4 linked regions of the Saccharomyces cerevisiae S288C genome follow. The gene in region 1 interacts genetically with each later gene. Each region holds a gene or a part of one and is shown in the gene's direction. Other genes may lie near its edges. The genes, in order: ERG11, UBC7, ARO7 and RER2.

Region 1 (3,911 bases):
CTCCGGTCAAATCAACGAATTGCATTACACCAAGCACCATCAAACTTATGTGAACGGATTCAACACTGCTGTTGACCAATTCCAAGAACTCTCAGATCTTCTGGCCAAGGAGCCCTCTCCCGCAAACGCAAGAAAAATGATTGCTATCCAACAAAACATCAAGTTCCATGGCGGTGGTTTCACAAACCACTGTCTATTCTGGGAAAACCTGGCTCCAGAGTCGCAGGGCGGTGGTGAACCACCCACCGGCGCTTTGGCAAAGGCAATCGACGAGCAGTTTGGCAGTCTGGACGAGCTGATTAAGTTGACCAACACAAAGCTAGCAGGCGTGCAGGGCTCCGGATGGGCCTTCATTGTGAAAAACCTCTCTAATGGAGGCAAGCTGGACGTTGTTCAAACCTACAACCAGGATACCGTCACAGGCCCACTAGTTCCTCTAGTTGCCATTGACGCCTGGGAACACGCCTACTACTTGCAGTACCAAAACAAGAAAGCCGACTACTTCAAAGCCATTTGGAATGTGGTCAACTGGAAAGAAGCATCCAGAAGATTCGATGCTGGCAAGATCTGAAGAAAGAAAGAAAGAAAATACCTTTTTTTTTCCACTGTGTCGTTTTTATTCTAACTACTCTACTAAATCACACAACCACACTCCCCTATTTAATAATATATTTTACTATTAAAATACATATACATGCATCGTAAAAAAAGAAAAAAAGAAAAGAAAAGAACCGAAAAAGACAATACAACCAACCTTCCTCCACTTTTTCTTTTTCCTTGTTCTCTCTCGCTTCCTACGTTACTCGCGCCTGTGCACTACATTCCCACCAGATTAACTCACCACCAGGCAGAGAACCAATTGTTCTTGTTATTGTTCCAACCGATAATTGTAAAGCCATTAAGGTCGTAAACGACTGCTTACTCAGGGAGATCTCCGAAAACGGCAATTGCTGTGCACCGTGCGACGTTATGATCGCCGCCTGTCCCGTACAGACGAACAATTGCAACAATGGGCGGTTGTTTAGAGAGGTTTTGTGCCGCGCCCGGGAATTACCGGGGGCACAGCAAAATACGAAATTTCCGGCAAAATGTCTCTGTACGAAAATGAGGCCAGCCTTTATTCCCGACTAAGCCGTACGATTATAGTAATGTCACACGAAGTGGATACTATACGAGCAGCGCACATACAATGTGCGTGCAAGATTTGCCGGGTTGGACAATCTTAAAGGCCGATAATCCACGAAAAACGAGACAAACGAAGCGCTGGCCCTAAACGAAACGAAACGAAACTAAGATTTCAAGATAATCGCTTTTCAGATGACAATAGTCTCTTGCAGAACACAATAAGTGTGGTAGGTATCTTGCAGGAGACATCGATTTTATGCCTGAATTTTTTTTTTTTCTTGGTATGAGCACATCCTATTGTGCATCTCCACGAGTTAACGACGTTTACGTACTCGCATGTATTCGAAAAGCCTCTAAAAATTGCCCTCCATGTGTATTCATTATATAAGATAGCGTATTTTCCCTTAGTTTTCTTATTCCCTCTTAATTCTCTCTTTCAATGTCTTTTTTTTTTTCCCTTTTCCTTTTTCCCTTTTCGTTATTGGTAAATTATTTATAAAAAGATTGATAAGCAGTATCGTTCAGCGTGTGTATTTTCGATAGGAAGTAATAATTTTTCATTATATTAATTAATAGTTTCCAGAAAAAATTTTTTTTCCTTCACAATTGCAGCAGGCTTGAATAGAAACAGAACAAACGAGTAATACAAGGATGTCTGCTACCAAGTCAATCGTTGGAGAGGCATTGGAATACGTAAACATTGGTTTAAGTCATTTCTTGGCTTTACCATTGGCCCAAAGAATCTCTTTGATCATAATAATTCCTTTCATTTACAATATTGTATGGCAATTACTATATTCTTTGAGAAAGGACCGTCCACCTCTAGTGTTTTACTGGATTCCATGGGTCGGTAGTGCTGTTGTGTACGGTATGAAGCCATACGAGTTTTTCGAAGAATGTCAAAAGAAATACGGTGATATTTTTTCATTCGTTTTGTTAGGAAGAGTCATGACTGTGTATTTAGGACCAAAGGGTCACGAATTTGTCTTCAACGCTAAGTTGGCAGATGTTTCAGCAGAAGCTGCTTACGCTCATTTGACTACTCCAGTTTTCGGTAAAGGTGTTATTTACGATTGTCCAAATTCTAGATTGATGGAGCAAAAGAAGTTTGTTAAGGGTGCTCTAACCAAAGAAGCCTTCAAGAGCTACGTTCCATTGATTGCTGAAGAAGTGTACAAGTACTTCAGAGACTCCAAAAACTTCCGTTTGAATGAAAGAACTACTGGTACTATTGACGTGATGGTTACTCAACCTGAAATGACTATTTTCACCGCTTCAAGATCATTATTGGGTAAGGAAATGAGAGCAAAATTGGATACCGATTTTGCTTACTTGTACAGTGATTTGGATAAGGGTTTCACTCCAATCAACTTCGTCTTCCCTAACTTACCATTGGAACACTATAGAAAGAGAGATCACGCTCAAAAGGCTATCTCCGGTACTTACATGTCTTTGATTAAGGAAAGAAGAAAGAACAACGACATTCAAGACAGAGATTTGATCGATTCCTTGATGAAGAACTCTACCTACAAGGATGGTGTGAAGATGACTGATCAAGAAATCGCTAACTTGTTAATTGGTGTCTTAATGGGTGGTCAACATACTTCTGCTGCCACTTCTGCTTGGATTTTGTTGCACTTGGCTGAAAGACCAGATGTCCAACAAGAATTGTACGAAGAACAAATGCGTGTTTTGGATGGTGGTAAGAAGGAATTGACCTACGATTTATTACAAGAAATGCCATTGTTGAACCAAACTATTAAGGAAACTCTAAGAATGCACCATCCATTGCACTCTTTGTTCCGTAAGGTTATGAAAGATATGCACGTTCCAAACACTTCTTATGTCATCCCAGCAGGTTATCACGTTTTGGTTTCTCCAGGTTACACTCATTTAAGAGACGAATACTTCCCTAATGCTCACCAATTCAACATTCACCGTTGGAACAAAGATTCTGCCTCCTCTTATTCCGTCGGTGAAGAAGTCGATTACGGTTTCGGTGCCATTTCTAAGGGTGTCAGCTCTCCATACTTACCTTTCGGTGGTGGTAGACACAGATGTATCGGTGAACACTTTGCTTACTGTCAGCTAGGTGTTCTAATGTCCATTTTTATCAGAACATTAAAATGGCATTACCCAGAGGGTAAGACCGTTCCACCTCCTGACTTTACATCTATGGTTACTCTTCCAACCGGTCCAGCCAAGATCATCTGGGAAAAGAGAAATCCAGAACAAAAGATCTAAGGTTTGTAACTGAGAAAAAAAAAAAAAACAGAAAAAGAGAGAAGTTGTACATTCACGTGGGCCTTATCGCCACACTCATCCATCTCCAATGATTTATTTTATTTGCCAGTACGTTTGATATGACATCGAGTTATGTTCTTTAGTTACTTTCAAACTTGGACAACCATCCCGCATTATTTATGAGTGGTATGGTTTCACTTCTTTATTTATAAATATTTATACTACGAAATTATATATAGATTACATTTCTAAAACAACATCAAATATAAGGTTTATTTATGCAACATGCCTACTGGATTAGAAGAGAGAACACACAGCTCACAGGCCAAGCGGAAATAAAGCAGTCTTTTCGCAAACTTGTAAATCTTTTTGCAATTTAAATTAATCAAGAGAGGGCCCAGGAGGAGAGGAGTTTTGGGGAGGGGTCACTGAGGAAGCTCTCTTAAATATGGATTCACTGAAATAAATGTATATAAGATTCATTACTGCTTTTTATAGTGATAAATCCAAATGATGAGTGAATTGAACCATCCTTAGTATCC
Region 2 (2,590 bases), on another chromosome or scaffold:
ATGGTGGTTCAGAGAGTAGTAGGGTGCATTTTCATTCCTGTTGCCTCAATGTGTTTTCTATCTGTATTTACGTGATTTTATGAAGTGGTGGCATCGCTTAGATGTGGTGCATAATTAGAGACTAATTTTTGAAACCACGCATGAATGTCAAGTAATTCTAACTGAGCATCTGTCATCAATGGCACTTGCAACTTCAAAAAATCCCACCAATATTTTGACGGCACCAATTTACCTTTGAATTTTATTTGAGTTTTCCTTGTTAATCTTGCATTCAGAATTCCATAGAAAAAGAATTTTTCAAATGGAATTATATTTGTAGAGTGAGAAAAACATCCATCACAAGTGCAGTTATCCGGAGGACATATGCATTCCTTGTCAGTGCATTTACAATCATCCAAATAATCCATCATCTTATCAGTAATTTGAGCTTCACCAATATTGGTTAAAGGAACACCACTTTGTTGAATATAAGAATTCAGTTCCTCTTCGCTTCTATGGATTAGACAATTAACACATGGGCAGCTTTCATCTTCACAAGAGCACTGCGTGCTTAAAAAAATGCCCTTATGAGTCAGGACTTCAACTTTCGAAGCAACGTCGCTTGAATGAGGAGCAGCAATCGTTGTTGTACTTTGTGGGGTGAGTGTTTCTGAACTGTCATGCGCACCAGGAACAGAACTATTGTAGTTTTCTTGTAAAATATCGTTAAAAGCGGACGTAGATTCCAAGGAGCCGTATGGCGTAAATATGTCATCAGACGGTGCCTTGTTCGTCTTGCCATTAGAAGCTGGGTTCTGTGATTTATCTTTCTTACAGCAGTTTGAAAAATGTCGTATAGGCTCCTGTTGAAGCCGGCTTCGCTCTTTCTTCTCACTTGAAGAAGATGACTTGGTAGAGTCCGGAGATATTGTTCCTGTTGCCGGAGCTTTGGGAGAGTGTTTCCTAAGAAACTCCGTTTCGGTGATATATTTGTTACCATCATCGGTAAATGTGCTAATATCTTTAGGCTCATGAGCAGTGAAACCTTCCTCCATTAATATATGCAATTTTCCGTTTATCATTCTTGCCTTTCTAACAGCAGAGGCACGTACAAACAGTATTGGCTGTTGATTCATTGCGCTGCAGCAGTCACCTTCAATTTGTGCACCATTTTCGTATTCTGTACTTTGCGATGTAGAGTCTACTAAAATAGCGTCTCTGATAGCCATGGGTGAAGGTCTTCCTCTAGTTCTCACCTTAATTAGCATTCGGTGAGAATGCCTGCATGTTGAAGAGCGATGCCCTCTGATGCACGATGCACACGCATATTTGTTCCCATTAAATATTATCATCTCTGATAGAGCTTGAAGAACTTACCAGACTGTTTCAAGTTTAAAACAAGGCGCCTCATCGCATCTACCTCACGAAGATGCAGCAGCTTATTGTCTCGAGATCCTTCTTATAACTCCTTTTCGCCATTACCCGAAAACGAGATTACAGCCTCTAAACCAAGAGCTCGAAAAGCGCCAAAGTAAACTCTGGCGTTTAGCGTACGAAGGAGATTATCCTAAAAGGAACTTCCCTAGTAATAGTGTAATTTGGAAGGGCATAGCATGTCGAAAACCGCTCAGAAACGTCTCCTCAAGGAGCTTCAACAGTTAATTAAAGATTCTCCACCTGGTATAGTGGCTGGTCCCAAATCGGAGAATAACATATTCATTTGGGACTGCCTAATTCAAGGGCCTCCAGATACGCCATACGCTGATGGTGTTTTTAATGCTAAGCTAGAGTTTCCTAAAGACTATCCGTTATCTCCACCTAAACTTACTTTCACACCCAGCATACTACATCCAAATATTTATCCAAATGGGGAAGTGTGCATATCCATTCTACACTCCCCTGGTGATGATCCTAACATGTACGAATTAGCGGAAGAAAGATGGTCGCCAGTGCAAAGTGTAGAAAAAATTCTATTAAGTGTTATGAGCATGTTGAGTGAGCCCAATATCGAAAGTGGTGCCAACATTGATGCTTGCATCTTGTGGAGAGATAATAGACCTGAATTTGAGAGACAGGTAAAGTTATCCATTTTGAAATCATTAGGATTCTGAAAGCAGGTAGCAGGTTAATGATCATTTGGTCTTCCTTTTAACTGTTCTCTATATACATAAATAAGCATATCTACCATCTAAAAGAAAGCAAATGTCACATAATAAATATGTTAAAATCTCAATGTCTTCCTGGCTTTTCAGGAATTCAAACCATTTCCATTTCGTTGGTGTATAATCAGGGGCCCCTCTACTCTCACCTCTCTGTACCGAAGCGTTAATCAATTTTCTTTTATTTATATACACGATGATTGTAACTAGGTTATTTTCCTATACAAAATTTGCTGAACACTGAATCTAAGATTTCCTCAATACCAATAGCTTGTCCTGTTATCTTAGCTATTCCATCGGATGCATACCTCAAATTTTCTGTGGCCAATACTATATCATTATGGAAATCTTTGGATTTGAAAAACTCTTCCAAGCCGTACAGTACGTCGTTTTTGAGAATCTCTGACACTCTTTTGGAAACAATGACAGGACTTGCATCGGCACTTGATTGA
Region 3 (3,311 bases), on another chromosome or scaffold:
CTCATCGTCAACAACAACAACCTCGTGACCTCTAGTTTGTAAATATTTCTCGCCCTTACTTTTGAAATTAACGTTCTCACCGACAACACAGCGTGGAATACCATACATGATGATGGCACCTGTACACATGTCGCATGGAGACAGCGTCGTATACAAAGTGGTATCTTTGTACACTTTGCCCTCTAATCTCCCACAGTTTTCCAAAGTGGAGATCTCACCATGTAGTGTGGCGGATCCCTTTTGAAATCTCATGTTGTGACCACGACCGAGAACACTTCCGTCTTTGTTATTGATAAGACATCCGCCAATAGGAACACCACCCTCTTTGTAACCTAAGGCCGCCTCCTCATAGGCAATGTCCATACCCTTCTGATCCCACTTGCTTGCCATTCCCCCTGTCACCATTAGCTATGAAATTTTTAACTCTTTAAGCTGGCTCTCATCAACATAAAACAATGGCTTGTAGATCTCATTGTCGAATTGAAAATGAACTTTTTAATTTCGCAAAAAAAAAAAGAAAAGTTCAGGGTCTCCGGGTACTACCGCCCCTGCAAGGAATGACCGGTGATAATGGAAGAGAAGATATTACAGCGACAGTATAATTAACAAACACGTTGTGTCTTTAGGCTCGTAACTAACTGTACGTATATCTACACACCATAGGTCACTACTTGCAATATATTTGTTATGCTACACCATAAGTTCGTATACCCATTTTTATTCAAGTGGCACTTATCATGTGTAGAAAAGTGTCCCCCACAAATCACTTTTATAGCTAAGTATGCTACAGCGAACGATAAAAATGGCAATAGAAAACTTACGATAAGGGATGAACAATGGCCTGAGTTGGCAGATCCAACTCCCTATGATATTTTTGGCATTCCAAAGGCCGGATCTGGAAATCCTAAACTGGACAAGAAGTCGTTAAAAAAAAAATATCATCGTTATGTAAAATTGTACCACCCTGACCATTCCGATAACATTCAAATATTTAGCTCAGAAAAGGTTACCAACAGTGATAGTAAATCACCGCTGCTGCTAACATCAAGCGAAAAACTACATAGATTTAAAGTCATCTCTCAAGCATATGATATTCTTTGTGACCCAAAGAAAAAGATCGTATATGACACAACGAGGCAAGGCTGGACCACATCGTATTCACCACGTTCTAACGTTAATACTGAAAATTACCAATATGCCGGCTCTTATGGCTACCACTCTAACGCGCAGTATGAATACTGGAACGCTGGGACTTGGGAAGACGCAAATAGCATGAAAAACGAAAGAATTCAAGAAAACATCAACCCATGGACCGTTATTGGCATAATTTGTGGCCTAGCTATATGCATCGAAGGGACTGCGTTGTTAGCCAAAATCCAGGAGTCTCTGAGCAAGGCCGAATTTACTCATGACGAAAGTGGATTACATTTGATTCAGTCATACACGAATTATGGTCTTGATACTGACAAATTTTCCAGATTGAGGCGGTTCTTATGGTTTAGAACTTGGGGACTTTACAAGTCGAAAGAGGATTTAGATAGAGAAGCCAAGATCAATGAAGAAATGATACGCAAACTGAAAGCAGCTAAATGAAATCACCTATTGCGCCGCTCGCGGAATACAATTACTAAATTTTATATATATTCTTTAAAAATGCATCTATACATTCGTTTTTCCACGTATACCAAATTCGAAAAAAGTTGTTAAACCATCGTTTTCACGTTTTTTAATTTTTTTTTGGTTCTCTTTTTTTTTTTTTTTCAATATCAACTTTTTTTCAAACTTCGTGTTGCATTTCCTTTATCGTAAATTTTCAATGGATCTCTATAATCTTCGAAGTTCGAAGAAAAGAAGAAAAAAAGTATTGAAAAGTTGAAACATCGATTCCGTTTTGCTAACAAATAGCACTCAGCATCCTGCATAAAATTGGTATAAGATATGGATTTCACAAAACCAGAAACTGTTTTAAATCTACAAAATATTAGAGATGAATTAGTTAGAATGGAGGATTCGATCATCTTCAAATTTATTGAGAGGTCGCATTTCGCCACATGTCCTTCAGTTTATGAGGCAAACCATCCAGGTTTAGAAATTCCGAATTTTAAAGGATCTTTCTTGGATTGGGCTCTTTCAAATCTTGAAATTGCGCATTCTCGCATCAGAAGATTCGAATCACCTGATGAAACTCCCTTCTTTCCTGACAAGATTCAGAAATCATTCTTACCGAGCATTAACTACCCACAAATTTTGGCGCCTTATGCCCCAGAAGTTAATTACAATGATAAAATAAAAAAAGTTTATATTGAAAAGATTATACCATTAATTTCGAAAAGAGATGGTGATGATAAGAATAACTTCGGTTCTGTTGCCACTAGAGATATAGAATGTTTGCAAAGCTTGAGTAGGAGAATCCACTTTGGCAAGTTTGTTGCTGAAGCCAAGTTCCAATCGGATATCCCGCTATACACAAAGCTGATCAAAAGTAAAGATGTCGAGGGGATAATGAAGAATATCACCAATTCTGCCGTTGAAGAAAAGATTCTAGAAAGATTAACTAAGAAGGCTGAAGTCTATGGTGTGGACCCTACCAACGAGTCAGGTGAAAGAAGGATTACTCCAGAATATTTGGTAAAAATTTATAAGGAAATTGTTATACCTATCACTAAGGAAGTTGAGGTGGAATACTTGCTAAGAAGGTTGGAAGAGTAAGCATGAAGGCTATCACGGTAACAATTCCACATTGCCGAGTGATTACTACGCATATATAAACACACACACTCACCATATATATGTACGCATAGTAGCATCTATTGAATATAAGAAGATAGAGTTTCAAGTTATACATTATATTGTACTATTTTCTTAAACGATGGCTCATAAATTCTATAGGAATTATCAACCCAATAACCTCATCGCTAATTCAAAAGTAGCAAAAGTGGCACCATTGGCGGGAGCAGCTCTTAGCATGGTAGGACCAAACCCTTTGAAAAAAGCGCCTATCCCTCCATTGGCATATAAAGTCTTGGCTACACTGGAAATAGAATTACCAAATTTAGGCTTTTGTAAATTATCCGTTTGCATGACAGACTTGATGACATCTAATGGATATACCATCAACCATAAGGCAGTGCCAGACAATGCTCCAAAAATACAAAGTTTCCATGCAGGAATGTCCTTTCTCTCTAGTCCACGTCTTTTGTTCATTTGGTTAGCAATCAACGCTTCATACACTAAGAAATATGTGCCACATCCATGACCTTCTCTCAATATTGTAGGTGTTAAACCACGTAGCAAGGCCTTGTTATGTCTTA
Region 4 (2,974 bases), on another chromosome or scaffold:
GAGCATCAGATTCAGGAAGAGAATCCCGTAGATTTTGTAATGCCTTGTCCCTATATTCCTCCGCTAGTATTTTCGTCTTCGCTATACCATTATGGAGTCTCACAGAATCAATAGTTTTTTCAACATCACCCCTCTCTGAAAAATTGCGTGAAATTAGTGGACCTAAAGATGGGTCTTCTTTCCATGCAAACAAGACTGGAGCAGTAGCAATACCTAATTTTAGATCCGCGCCGGATGGCTTCCCTAAATCTTTTCCAGACACAGTAAAATCAAGCATATCATCTACGAGTTGGAAACATATACCTAGATTTCTACCGAAATCATAGCATTCGTCGATAACGGCAGGTGATGCCCCAGATAATATAGCAGCACATCTGCAAGATTTTGATATCAAAGCAGCAGTCTTCAGATAGGTCTTGTGTATGTAGTATTCAAATGCAGTTTCTATAATCTGATCATGAGATAATTGCAGCCCCTGTTGGCGGCTTGGAACACGAAAGTCGTGCTCTTTAACTTCAAGCTTTTTAGAAGGAACCGGAAGTAGCTTATGGCCATTTTCGATGGTATCGATATCCGCGTCAATGGAAGTATTTTTCAGTTGCATGAACTCACCTTCGACAAGATTCGCAATACTATTAGACATTAGTTCTACGACTTCGGGGTTGTGTAATCTTGAAATTGACACTGTTGCTCTCCCTAAGAGAAAATCACCCGCCAAAACGGCCATCTTGTTGGTAAAGGCAGCATTTCCGCTTGGCCTTCCTCTTCTTGTATCAGAATGATCAATAACGTCATCATGAAGTAAAGACGCAGTGTGTATCATCTCTACAATCTCTGCTAATCTTCTCTGTTTGGGTAAAATCCCTCTTTGTTTGTCAAAAGTTTCTTCTGGCAAAGGCTCAGGACCTTTTGTCAAGGGATTTAGTGGTTTAATACCGTGAAGAATATGTAGTGGGGATATGCTACTTGCAGGACGTTGAAATAGTTGATTTTGACTAGGTTTAGAGTAAATTGGGTCCTCAGGAACATCCGACTTGTCAATTTTCAAGTGATTTCTTTCTGTCATGGGAATTTCAGAAAGTGCTCTTGACAACAACAACACTAACAAGGGACGTACTTTTTTGCCTTCTGTTTCAAAATAGTAACTAGTAACCTTGTTTAGCACCGGATGGCCAGACCCGATGAGGGCAACTATATTTTTGGCCAATGTGTTCATCTCCTTCGAGACTAATGATATGGGATTATTCCAAAGAATCTTGGGAGTTACCAACTTACTGGCAGCGTTTAAAGCAACTGCAAAGGAGGATTTAAAGCGGCATCTTCGAGATGAAATCAATTTGATGTGATGAGCAGCGCCAGACCTTTGAAACATCGTCCCACTGTACTCAATTCGGACTGAATGGCACACTTCTTGTGTTGTAGAAAATCTCTATAGATTATAATGTGTCTTACTTTAATCTTCTAATCCCCTAACCCTGTTACCCTCGCTCGGGCTTTTTCCGAAGATGCCAACAAAATGCTTAGAATGAAAAAAAAAAAAATTTTCGTAATAATGACAGGTTTCAATAGAACTTAAGCAGTAAAAATAGGGTAAACACAGGTAAAAGACGGTATGGAAACGGATAGTGGTATACCTGGTCATTCATTTGTGTTAAAGTGGACAAAAAACATCTTTTCGCGCACATTGCGTGCATCTAACTGTGTACCTAGACATGTTGGGTTCATCATGGATGGGAACAGGAGATTCGCTAGAAAGAAAGAGATGGACGTAAAGGAGGGCCACGAGGCAGGATTTGTTAGTATGAGTAGAATCTTAGAACTGTGTTATGAAGCAGGAGTCGATACGGCTACCGTGTTTGCCTTTTCAATTGAAAATTTCAAGAGGAGCTCACGGGAAGTTGAATCACTGATGACTTTAGCGCGCGAAAGGATACGACAAATCACAGAACGTGGAGAGCTGGCCTGTAAGTATGGGGTACGCATTAAAATTATCGGCGATCTCTCTTTGTTGGATAAGTCTCTATTAGAAGATGTTCGGGTTGCTGTGGAAACTACAAAGAACAACAAAAGGGCCACGTTAAATATCTGCTTTCCATATACAGGCAGGGAAGAAATCTTGCATGCCATGAAAGAAACAATTGTTCAACATAAGAAGGGCGCCGCTATAGACGAAAGCACGTTAGAATCGCATCTCTACACGGCGGGGGTACCCCCTTTAGATTTATTGATTAGGACAAGTGGCGTTTCCAGATTAAGTGACTTTTTGATATGGCAGGCATCGAGTAAGGGCGTACGCATCGAATTGCTGGATTGTTTATGGCCAGAGTTTGGACCTATACGGATGGCATGGATTTTATTAAAATTTTCGTTTCACAAATCCTTTTTAAACAAAGAGTACAGATTAGAGGAAGGTGATTATGACGAGGAAACCAATGGGGACCCCATCGATTTGAAAGAAAAAAAGTTGAATTAAGAAAGGTCTGCATTTTTTTCCTACCACATGGCATAGATATTTATAGAGTAATGAGCAAGATAAATGAGTTCGCAAAAGAACATTCAAATAATTAGTAATAAATGAGTAGAAATTCACGCATCTTTATAGAGTTTATAATGCAAATCTCCGCGCGGGGTAATTTGAAGTCCAATTTTTCCGAGCGGCGTGCCAGTTCCACTAAATTATATAAAGCGGATAGGAATTGTAATTACCTCCCAAAGTTAATATTCGACTAATGTATATTTCATATGTTATAGCGCTTGTAGGAACTGTTTTCCATTAAAACTAATATTCTTTATTTCTCAATTTTATTTATTTATTTATATTTTTCCTTTGCAAATATATTTGACGCAGGTTCGGATCAGACATTTGGTATATAAGGAGACCTGCATATACTCAAATAATGGTAGATTTTTTACCAAAAGTAACGGAAATAAATCCTCCATCCGAAGGTAATGATGGTGAAGATAACATAAAGCC

Evidence for each region.
Region 2: mutations in ERG11 (region 1) and UBC7 are lethal when combined (synthetic lethality), as found in Saccharomyces cerevisiae (2 studies listed by BioGRID, with this or other methods).
Region 3: mutations in ERG11 (region 1) and ARO7 together harm fitness more than expected from each alone (negative genetic interaction), as found in Saccharomyces cerevisiae (2 studies listed by BioGRID).
Region 4: mutations in ERG11 (region 1) and RER2 are lethal when combined (synthetic lethality), as found in Saccharomyces cerevisiae (2 studies listed by BioGRID, with this or other methods).

Annotation. Positions count from the first base shown.
Region 1 is NC_001140.6:119,549-123,459, reverse strand, and holds ERG11 (sterol 14-demethylase), read left to right. Parts: upstream 1-1,776; coding exon 1,777-3,369; downstream 3,370-3,911. Other genes in the region: superoxide dismutase SOD2, read left to right, coding at 1-571; YHR007C-A (uncharacterized protein), read left to right, coding at 695-910. UniProt on the Saccharomyces cerevisiae protein: Sterol 14alpha-demethylase that plays a critical role in the third module of ergosterol biosynthesis pathway, being ergosterol the major sterol component in fungal membranes that participates in a variety of functions.
Region 2 is NC_001145.3:317,088-319,677, forward strand, and holds UBC7 (E2 ubiquitin-conjugating protein UBC7), read left to right. Parts: upstream 1-1,592; coding exon 1,593-2,090; downstream 2,091-2,590. Other genes in the region: MAC1 (Mac1p), read right to left, coding at 78-1,331; MSS1 (Mss1p), read right to left, coding at 2,350-2,590.
Region 3 is NC_001148.4:674,259-677,569, reverse strand, and holds ARO7 (chorismate mutase ARO7), read left to right. Parts: upstream 1-1,938; coding exon 1,939-2,709; downstream 2,710-3,311. Other genes in the region: FCY1 (cytosine deaminase), read right to left, coding at 1-405; JID1 (Jid1p), read left to right, coding at 688-1,593; YMC1 (organic acid transporter), read right to left, coding at 2,896-3,311. UniProt on the Saccharomyces cerevisiae protein: Catalyzes the Claisen rearrangement of chorismate to prephenate. Acts at the first branch point in the aromatic amino acid pathway where it steers biosynthesis towards phenylalanine and tyrosine, and away from tryptophan.
Region 4 is NC_001134.8:241,207-244,180, reverse strand, and holds RER2 (ditrans,polycis-polyprenyl diphosphate synthase), read left to right. Parts: upstream 1-1,612; coding exon 1,613-2,473; downstream 2,474-2,974. Other genes in the region: COQ1 (trans-hexaprenyltranstransferase), read right to left, coding at 1-1,372; alpha,alpha-trehalase NTH2, read left to right, coding at 2,898-2,974.